Linked DNA regions of Neurospora crassa OR74A. The protein of the gene in region 1 interacts with the protein of each later gene in a pairwise test. Links are inferred from orthologs where the notes say so. Each region holds a gene or a part of one and is shown in the gene's direction. Other genes may lie near its edges. The genes, in order: rpt-1 and NCU03028.

The links.
Region 2: the proteins of rpt-1 (region 1) and NCU03028 interact in binary tests that used the Saccharomyces cerevisiae proteins (3 or more experiments, as listed by UniProt). The link is inferred for Neurospora crassa OR74A from reciprocal best matches to the Saccharomyces cerevisiae genes RPT1 and DSK2.

The regions. Positions count from the first base shown.
Region 1 is NC_026501.1:8,944,216-8,948,759, reverse strand, and holds rpt-1 (26S protease regulatory subunit 7), read left to right. Parts: upstream 1-1,601; 5' UTR 1,602-2,168; coding exon 2,169-2,171; intron 2,172-2,235; coding exon 2,236-2,327; intron 2,328-2,398; coding exon 2,399-2,513; intron 2,514-2,590; coding exon 2,591-3,700; 3' UTR 3,701-3,958; downstream 3,959-4,544. Other genes in the region: NCU02839 (T-complex protein 1), read right to left, coding at 1-360, 467-1,122, 1,197-1,248, 1,362-1,412. UniProt on the Saccharomyces cerevisiae protein: The 26S proteasome is involved in the ATP-dependent degradation of ubiquitinated proteins. The regulatory (or ATPase) complex confers ATP dependency and substrate specificity to the 26S complex.
Region 2 is NC_026501.1:8,391,900-8,396,338, reverse strand, and holds NCU03028 (deubiquitination-protection protein dph1), read left to right. Parts: upstream 1-1,573; 5' UTR 1,574-1,842; coding exon 1,843-2,277; intron 2,278-2,342; coding exon 2,343-3,203; 3' UTR 3,204-3,656; downstream 3,657-4,439. Other genes in the region: NCU03029 (hypothetical protein), read right to left, coding at 3,657-4,439. UniProt on the Saccharomyces cerevisiae protein: Involved, with RAD23 in spindle pole body duplication. Involved in the ubiquitin-proteasome proteolytic pathway.

The DNA.
Region 1 (4,544 bases):
CTTGGTGCCCGTCACCTTGACCATGCGGGAACCGGAGGAGTTGACTTCCTCGACCAGGTCGGCGCTGCCGAGCTTGTCCTCGGTGAAGGAGTCGATGTCGGCGATGGGCTTGCAGCCGGTCGATTTGCAAATGAACTCAACTTCGTCGCGCTCGATGTCCTTGACGGCGAGGATGCCGAGGCGCTGCAGGAAGTGCAGGGACAGGTCGTTGACGGCGTCGCGGAGGATGGATTTCTGGATGAAGAGGACGTTGCACTTGGCTTTCTTGATCTTCTTGACCATGTTGAGGAGGTAGGTGCGCTCTTCCTTGACGATCTTGTCCATCTGGCGGTAGTCGTTTACGGAGATGGTGTTTTCCATCTGTAAGAGTGAGTTGTTAGTAAAAGCACGAAAAGGGTAGTGTTTGGGCGATTTAGGGCCAGCAGGCAAGGTGGGTAGGTTATGGTCGCCAGAAAGGTATACGCACATCAGGCTTGGGAGGGCTGAGCTGGAACTGAATAAGACCGATCCTGGCCTTCTCCATCCTGACGGGACCACCAGCGCTCTTGATGACGGGCTGTGTAAGGACGAGACCATCAACCAGCTCGCTGTCCTCGATCGTACCGCCGACCTTCTTGATTATGCGGATGTTCTTGAGGTCGACATTCTCGGCGGTCTTGAGATCTATCGTCTTGGTGACTGCGTTGACGGCCATGGGGCCGAGGAGGTTGGAGTATTGTGACACGATCTTGGAGGAGAGCGAAGTGTTGGCGGCCTGGAGGAGCGAGGCGGTATCTGTGAGGGAGATGGGTTGCGACATGTCGTGGAGGACGTCTACGGCAGCGGCGGCGGCTCTTTGGAAAGCTTCGGAGATGACTGAGGGGTGGATGCCCTTGCCTAGTAGCCTGTCGGCGGCACCGAGCAAGCTACCGCAAAGGACGACGACCGAGGTTGTGCCATCACCGGCCTCGACATCTTGGGCGTGCGACAGCTGGACGAGCATCTTGGCTGTGGGGTGCATGACCGACATGCTCTTCAACATTGTGCTGCCGTCGTTGGTGATGATGGTCTCCCCCTTTCCAGTCATGATCATCTTGTCCATACCCCGCGGTCCCAGCGACGTTCTGACGGCATCGGCGACGGCTGGTGCATGTCTCTGTGTCAGCACCCCAGACAACAACGACACAAGACGGAATGACAAAATGTTGTAGGCATACCTCTGGCGGCGACAATGTTGGATGAGCGAACGGCGATGGGCTTCTCCTTGTCCTGTTTACATGGTGGGCTATCAGCAACTGGCTTGCCACAGAGCTTCACCCCTCCTCCTGGAGCTTTCGCACCGACTCCTATCGAGGGGTCAGGTTCCAAAAAGCGGGACGCACCCTGAAAGTCGCATTGCTCGCCGTCTGGGTAGCTGCCGGTGCGGTCGCCATGGTGCAAGCTTGTTTGATCTGGTATTTGGGATTATGGGAGATAGTAGACGGGAGGTCGGATGGGGGGATCAGAAACTGCCGGAAATTCGAGTTGACAGTTTTGGGGAATCGGCTTGCGCTGGGTGCAGTGCAGTTGTTGTGTTGTAAGGCAGAGCTCTCCTCTTCTCCTTCTTTGCTGGTCTGGAATCAATGGGCCAAAAACACACACACACACCGTCCCCTCCGTACCAATGTTTCCACTGCGGGACCGTAAAGTGAGTGCTGGCGCGGGCGCAAAGGTGGGCTGGCAGGTGGTAATTTTTTGTCGGCTGCTTTTTGCTGAGCGGTGGGCGGTGGAAAAGGTACCTGCGGCGCTGTAACTTTACACAGTCTAACCGGATAGGGTTAGGTAGGTGCTGTCAAGGTGGCACCCACCCGTAGCTCCCTCGCCCGCAAGGCAGCGCATGGATTACGGCAACGATTGAGCTTCGACCCTCTGTCAGTGAGTGGTGGCAGTTGGACCTTGACGAACCATCTCCATCCATCCATCCATCACATCAAGCAAGCACTGAACACCCATCAAACCAACTTGAACCCGACACACCACATCAAACCCGCGCCGAGATCTCTACAACCCCACGAACGACCCACGCCAAACAAGGAATCTCTCGCCCGGAGCCATCGCGACTTTAATTACCGACCCGATCCTTTCGATTACCCACCCTTCTTCGCCTTACCTAGTCCAAACGGGAAGCGTCATTCCCACCCGCCGTCATCATGGTATGCTTGCAGTCGCCCTACCCAAAGGTGCAACGCCACTTTGCACGACTGACACCGGGAATAGCCTTCTGCCACAGGTCAAAACTGGGAGAAGTACAGGAAAACGTTTGGCGACGATGAAGTCGAGGAGAAGAAGATCACTCCCCTCTCAGACGAGTATGTTGCCGCCCAAGAGAGCCCGCCCACCACTACCACCGCAACGGACAAGTCGTCTAACCCCCGTCAAGGGATATTCAGGTCCTCAAGACATACGGCGCCGCGCCCTACGGTGCTGCCATCAAGAAGCTAGAACAGCAAATAAAGGAGAAGCAGCAGAGCGTGGATGAGAAGATTGGCGTCAAGGTATGCTAGTCTTGCGGTGGCTACCCTACAAACCGCGAAGCGCATCTAGCTGACCAGTGATACTTTTTGGTCTACAGGAATCAGATACCGGCCTTGCGCCCCCTCACCTTTGGGATGTGGCAGCCGACCGTCAGCGTATGTCAGAAGAGCAACCGCTTCAGGTAGCGCGGTGCACCAAGATCATCCCTGACGAGAAGGACGAATCGAAGAGCAAGTACGTCATCAACGTCAAGCAGATCGCCAAGTTTGTTGTCCAGCTGGGCGAGCGAGTCAGCCCGACAGATATCGAGGAAGGAATGCGCGTCGGCGTCGACAGAAACAAGTATCAGATTCTCCTTCCGCTACCTCCCAAGATCGATGCGAGCGTTACCATGATGACGGTCGAGGAAAAGCCTGACGTCACATACGGCGATGTCGGTGGTTGCAAGGAACAGGTCGAGAAGCTACGCGAGGTCGTGGAGATGCCCCTCTTGTCGCCAGAGCGGTTCGTCAACCTCGGTATCGATCCCCCCAAGGGCGCCCTGCTATACGGACCTCCCGGCACCGGTAAGACGCTTTGCGCCCGTGCCGTTGCCAACAGGACAGACGCCACCTTTATCCGTGTCATTGGTTCCGAGCTGGTTCAAAAGTACGTCGGTGAGGGTGCCCGCATGGTCCGCGAGCTTTTCGAGATGGCCCGTACTAAGAAGGCTTGCATCATCTTCTTTGACGAAATTGATGCTATTGGTGGAGCCCGGTTCGATGACGGCGCGGGTGGTGATAATGAAGTTCAGCGTACTATGTTGGAGCTCATTACGCAGCTGGATGGTTTCGATGCCCGTGGCAACATTAAGGTTATGTTCGCTACTAACCGTCCTTCCACGCTGGATCCCGCCCTGATGCGTCCCGGACGTATCGACCGCAAAATTGAGTTCTCTCTCCCCGATCTCGAGGGTCGTGCCAACATTCTGCGCATTCATGCCAAGAGCATGTCAGTCGAGCGCGATATCCGATGGGAGCTCATTTCTCGCCTGTGCCCGAACGCGACGGGTGCTGAGTTGCGTAGTGTTTGCACGGAGGCGGGCATGTTCGCCATCCGTGCGCGCAGGAAGGTGGCGTCGGAGAAGGACTTTTTGAGTGCGGTGGACAAGGTCATCAAGGGCAACCTCAAGTTCAACTCTACTGCGGCCTATGCCCAGTACAACTAAACGGGGAGGAAGAAGCGCATCAATAGCGGAATGGGGAGTTTGGGGTTTTTGGTTTGTGTTGAAACCGGAAGTCTAGATGTGTAATAGATGATGAATCAAGAGCGGCTCGAGATGGCACTCATAGCTGGGACTTGGGAGAGTTTGGACCGCCAGATCCCACACAGTAGGCACAATGCAGTAGGCTCTCCTGACAAGCGAAATGAACATACGGGCGGAATGAATAGGTATCATGCCTACTGTTGTTGATGATGAACATGGATTTGAAGCGATTGCATACCTATGTGACAAAATGTGACAGCAAAACTCCATGGCAGACATGGTGAGAATTGTGACGATGAGGTGTTACGACTCCGCCGCCGTGGATATCCAGACTTCCAAAATGGGGAGACGGAGCTGCTCCCGGGATACCCTTGGCAGTGACACCATCCAAGCGAAGCGATAAGGCAAAAAGGCGGGTTACGTTGAACGATAAGGAAGCTGTAGCTCAATCGTGTCGGGTGCCGCCGTCGAGATACCGGAGCACGGAGAGGTCTTGGGGGCAAGTCATGGATGCAAAGGGGGGAAGGAAACAAATGGAAATCAAGCGAAGGGGGAAAAGTTGCAAAAAAATTAGAAACCGTGGTCGCGCTGGGGGTCGAACCCAGGACCTATGCATAACTTCCAATGGCTTGGAGGTATCTAATTGCGTGTGTTAGTATGGGACAAACACTTTGGAGAAGGTATCTTCGGGGTCAAGACTCACAAGAGCATCGCGGTAACCACTCCGCTACGTGACCATTTCTGGTTTGTTGGTTGCCTGCTTGTACCCCATGGTCAGCTTATAATAGCAGGTGAGGGGTTTGCA
Region 2 (4,439 bases), about 550 kb from region 1:
TTCGGTCCAACGTGGCAGCACAGCCTTTCCTCAACGAAGCCCGGGATTGGATCTCTTCGAGGCCCAGAACCGGAAGGTTGCATTTCACGAGATCGATTCAGGCAGCGCCTGTCCGCTGAATCCCGTATACAACAACCCACATGACCGGCGTCGCACGCGTAGCAGCTCTACCTTGACGGGCCATCTCTTGGGAAAGCGCTGATCTCCTCCTCAGTCCATGCCCTTGCCCACGCCAACTCCACTTCAGACGGACGAACGAAGAAGAATCCTCATCAACGTGAGGGCACTCGCTGCTAGTGCGTCGACATCTCGCATTGACGGACAGCCTATCATAGTGTAATAGTTCCATGATCTCAAAGGTTTGTGGAAGACAATGGTCGCTTAAGCACGTCGTATCCTTGCTTGGCCCGCAGCAAGAAGAACTGCCTAGGCGGTATGCTCTAAAGTGCGGTTAGAGATGTGTCTTGATGTACACCAAGGCTACACCAAGGCGGTGAAGGAGCAGATGCTCGATATCCTTGATACACTTACCTGGAGTATCCTGGCATGGTCCACGGACCATGCACTCTGAGCTGTACATACCTGTCTGGTATAGTCCATATGTTCTACCTCCTAGTTCGCTGAGGTTGACGCGACGGCCCATATAATGCCGCCATAACAACAAACGCTACTGATCAACCGAAAACGTGAGTAGTTTGCGAATACGATTTTGTTGTGCAGGTTTGACGGAAGACATCAACGAAAGATTATTCTCGCCAAACCGGCTATCGGCTGAGGGTCACTGAACCTTCAAGAATGCTGATTGCGCATCAAAGTAGGAGGTTTGATGCGTTGAGTTTCTTTCATCCACCAGAATAAAAGTGTAGGCAGAAGCGATGAAGTGTCTGCCATCTGAAGAAAGTTTGTTCAAAACCAGAGAAGGGAAGAGGTTTAGGTTTGTCAAGGGAAAGAGTGAGACGATTCGCCCTCGTCCATTAGTTTAGAAGGTACATGGATTTGGTTCGAAGCAGCAGCTAATCGACAGTACCCTGTCATCACACACATGCGATAACAAAAGCTACTGGACAAGCTGATAAGATGGGGGGAACCGGTCAGGTGTCAGGTCATGTGGATGCCGAGAGCCCGATAGAACCTCAAAGAAGCGGATGGGTGTGAGAGCAGGAGAGTACTATCAAGGTGTCGCAGCTGACTGGAACTAGTAGGTGACAAGATAGTGGCTCACCATCTATATGGCACGCAGAAGTTGCAATCAGGCACCGTTCGTATCATCCATCGATTCCATGTAGTATGTATACCTATGTATACGCCTAGTGACCGGCGTTCGTTACGTCGAGGCCCTGTGGGAAAGCTGAAGTAGGGTACTAAGGTACTGTAACATGCACTTGGTAGGTAGGGTTAGGGATGGAGTCGTGTTCAACGACAGAAGTGAAGCCTAAAAAGGCAAGAACCTCGGTGAACACTACACTACCTAGTATACCTTAATGACGGCTTGTAGTGGGGTCTGCTGCCTGCCGTGGAGGGGCTCTTAATGCCATGCCACCCACCTGCCACTGTTGGCGGCAGCGCTTATCGGCCTCCGCCTGTGACCTTCCAACATTACAACAACTCAATTACTTTGGTTCCCAACACAACCCTTTTCCGTAGCATCACCATTCCTCAACTTTCACCAGCACACGAAGCTATCGTAATTCCATACGAACGACTTTGCAGCAGGCTTTCACATAATCCCATCACAAAGTGCTGAACTCGAACGTGGGGCGATCGGAGCTCCCCTGAGACCAACGTCATCATCCACGACCGCCATTAACCGTTTCATTGCCGAATCGTAAAGCGATAGAAATCATGGCTGAGGCTTCAAATACTGGCGGCGATGGCCAGATTACCTTCAAAGTAAAATGCTCAGGCGACAAGAACCACACAGTCACCATTGCCGAGTCTGCGACCGTCCTTCAGCTCAAGACCCTGTTAGCGGGGGAGGAATACGAGAACATCTCGCCGGAGCAGCAACGCCTCATCTACTCCGGAAAGGTCATGAAGGACGATGAAGTTCTTAGTTTCTACAAGATCAAGCACATGAACACAGTGCACATGGTTAAGCGTCCAGCCAGCGCCGCGACAGCCAGCAGTGGCTCAACCTCGACACCCGCTCAGCCCGCGATACCTCAGAACATGGCTGCCGGCACTCCCTCGAATAACCTTTTAGCTGGCCTCACAGGCGCTCGCTTTGCCGGTCAGGTGCCGCTACCAAGCCGAGACCTGTTTGGGCCGGACGGAGGAGTACGCCACCCCTTTCTCGGCCCCCTGGACCCTTAACATAGCTGTTTACTAATGATGTTTTATAGATGGGCGCGCCTCCTAGCGAGGATGAAATCGCGAACATGCTCTCGAACCCAGCGATGGCCCAGGTCATGGCCGAGGCGTTCAACAACCCCGCCGTCATCGACCAGATGATTGCCTCCAACCCGATGTTGGCCAACATGCCCGCTGATCGCGCTCGCGAGCTTCTCAACTCTCCGATGATGCGCAACATGATGACGAACCCGGAGGCACTTCGCATGGCGGCACGCATGCGTAGGATGATGGGCGGAGGCGCCAACGCCTTTCCAGCGCCCGGGGTAACGGACAACACTCCGAACGCGACGACCGGTGCCGGTAATAACAACGCCAATGCCGATGCGCAGAACCCGTTCGCCATGTTTCTTCCATTTGGTGTTCCTCCGGCGGGCGCTCCCCCAGCAGGTAATCCCTTTGCCGCGCTCTTTGGAAACCCCGCGGGGTCTTCGCCTGCGTCTACCGGAGCTTCGACCGAGAGTGCCAGGAGCGGGGATGCCGCATCTGCTCCGGCTACTGGCGCCACTTCGGGGTCTGGGCAGCAAGCAGATCCGTTGGCATCTTTGTTCGGAGCGCTTGGAGGTGCTGGTCAGCCTGGTCAGGCTGGTGCCGCGAACCCTTTTGGTTTGCCCCCTATCTCGCCTGAGGCCTTGCAGCAGATGATGCAGGCATTTGGTGGCGGTGGTTTGGGTGGTTTTGGCGGAAATCCCGTTGCTCCTCCCGACAACAGGCCGCCAGAGGAGAGGTATGCTGAGCAGCTGCGTCAACTCAACGATATGGGTTTCTTCGATTTTGATCGGAACGTTGCTGCACTACGCCGCAGCGGTGGTAGCGTACAGGGTGCTATCGAACATCTTCTGGGCGGTTCTTAACTTAAATTTCTTTACTAGACGGTGCAGAGATGTGGACCGGAGATTGACAGTTATCTGCTGTTCCTCAAGGATACGGCGGTATTCACAATGAACGACAGAATGTCGAGGGGATAGTGGATTGAAGGATGTCCAGGGAGTGCAGTGTTATCTCCTGGCGAGGTCATTGTTGGGCCGTGCTAGATATATTTTAATCAAATATCTAGCGATAATGGTTGCTCAGGAGGACGATAGACAGTCCAGCACAGAGACGATGCTCAAAACAACACCCCTTCAGCGGGTGTCCTCACGTAAGGAGGTTTACATGTTTACAGTTTAGCGATCTTTATCAAACATGTCTCCTCTTGCTTGAATCAACAAGGTTCTTTTGTCCTCTAAGAAGACGAGTTCGCATACAGTAGCCGGGCTAACTATCAACACCACTAATCAACTCTTATTTGCATGCTATCATTCCCTCTACCGATAAAGCACCGTCAAATCCCCAGCCGGCACCGGAAAGTTCCTCAATTTATCCATAATCTCCGCGTCCGTCATGTTCCTCTCCGTCATGATCTGATCAAAACAATGTCGTCCATCCATATACTTTTGCAACGGATCCCCACTAGCCTTCATCATCATCGCCATCTTCTTGCTGTTCGACCCCTTCCCCCCCGGACCCCCATGACTCCCGGGTTCACGATAGGTATCATAATGTCCGCCCGGCACCGCCACTTTATGTTCCCTCCCCATTTCCCCTTCGCCATACCCCCTCCCACTTTTCCCTTTGCCTGTGCCAGTTCCGGTGTCGGATGGCGAAACAGGTCTAGCCAACCCCGTAGCTAGCGCAGCCAGATACTGTTTCGAGATAACATACTTGTGCACCCTGTACAAACACCCCTTGATGACGCCAAATTGAACTAAGCGGCGAACGTCCACGTACCGTAGGACGTCGAAGCCGGAATCCATATGGCCCTTGAGCCATTCGGCCACGGTTTTGCCGACGCAGAAGGTAGTCATTAGGCGGATTAGCATGTAGTTGGATATGCGGTATCCGTTGGGTGGTGGGGGCTTGTTAGACGGTGGGGAGGAGGAGGAGTGGATGTTGGAGGAAGGGTTGCGGGGGGAGGTGGAGGGCTTTCGTTCGTGGACGGGGGAGAGGTGGTGTTGGGCGTAAGGGCTGGGATCGCGGTCGGAACCACCTCCTGGGCCAAGGCCAAAGGGGGAGAGGTGGCTGTGGCGTGTGCTGGCAGAGGTGGAGAG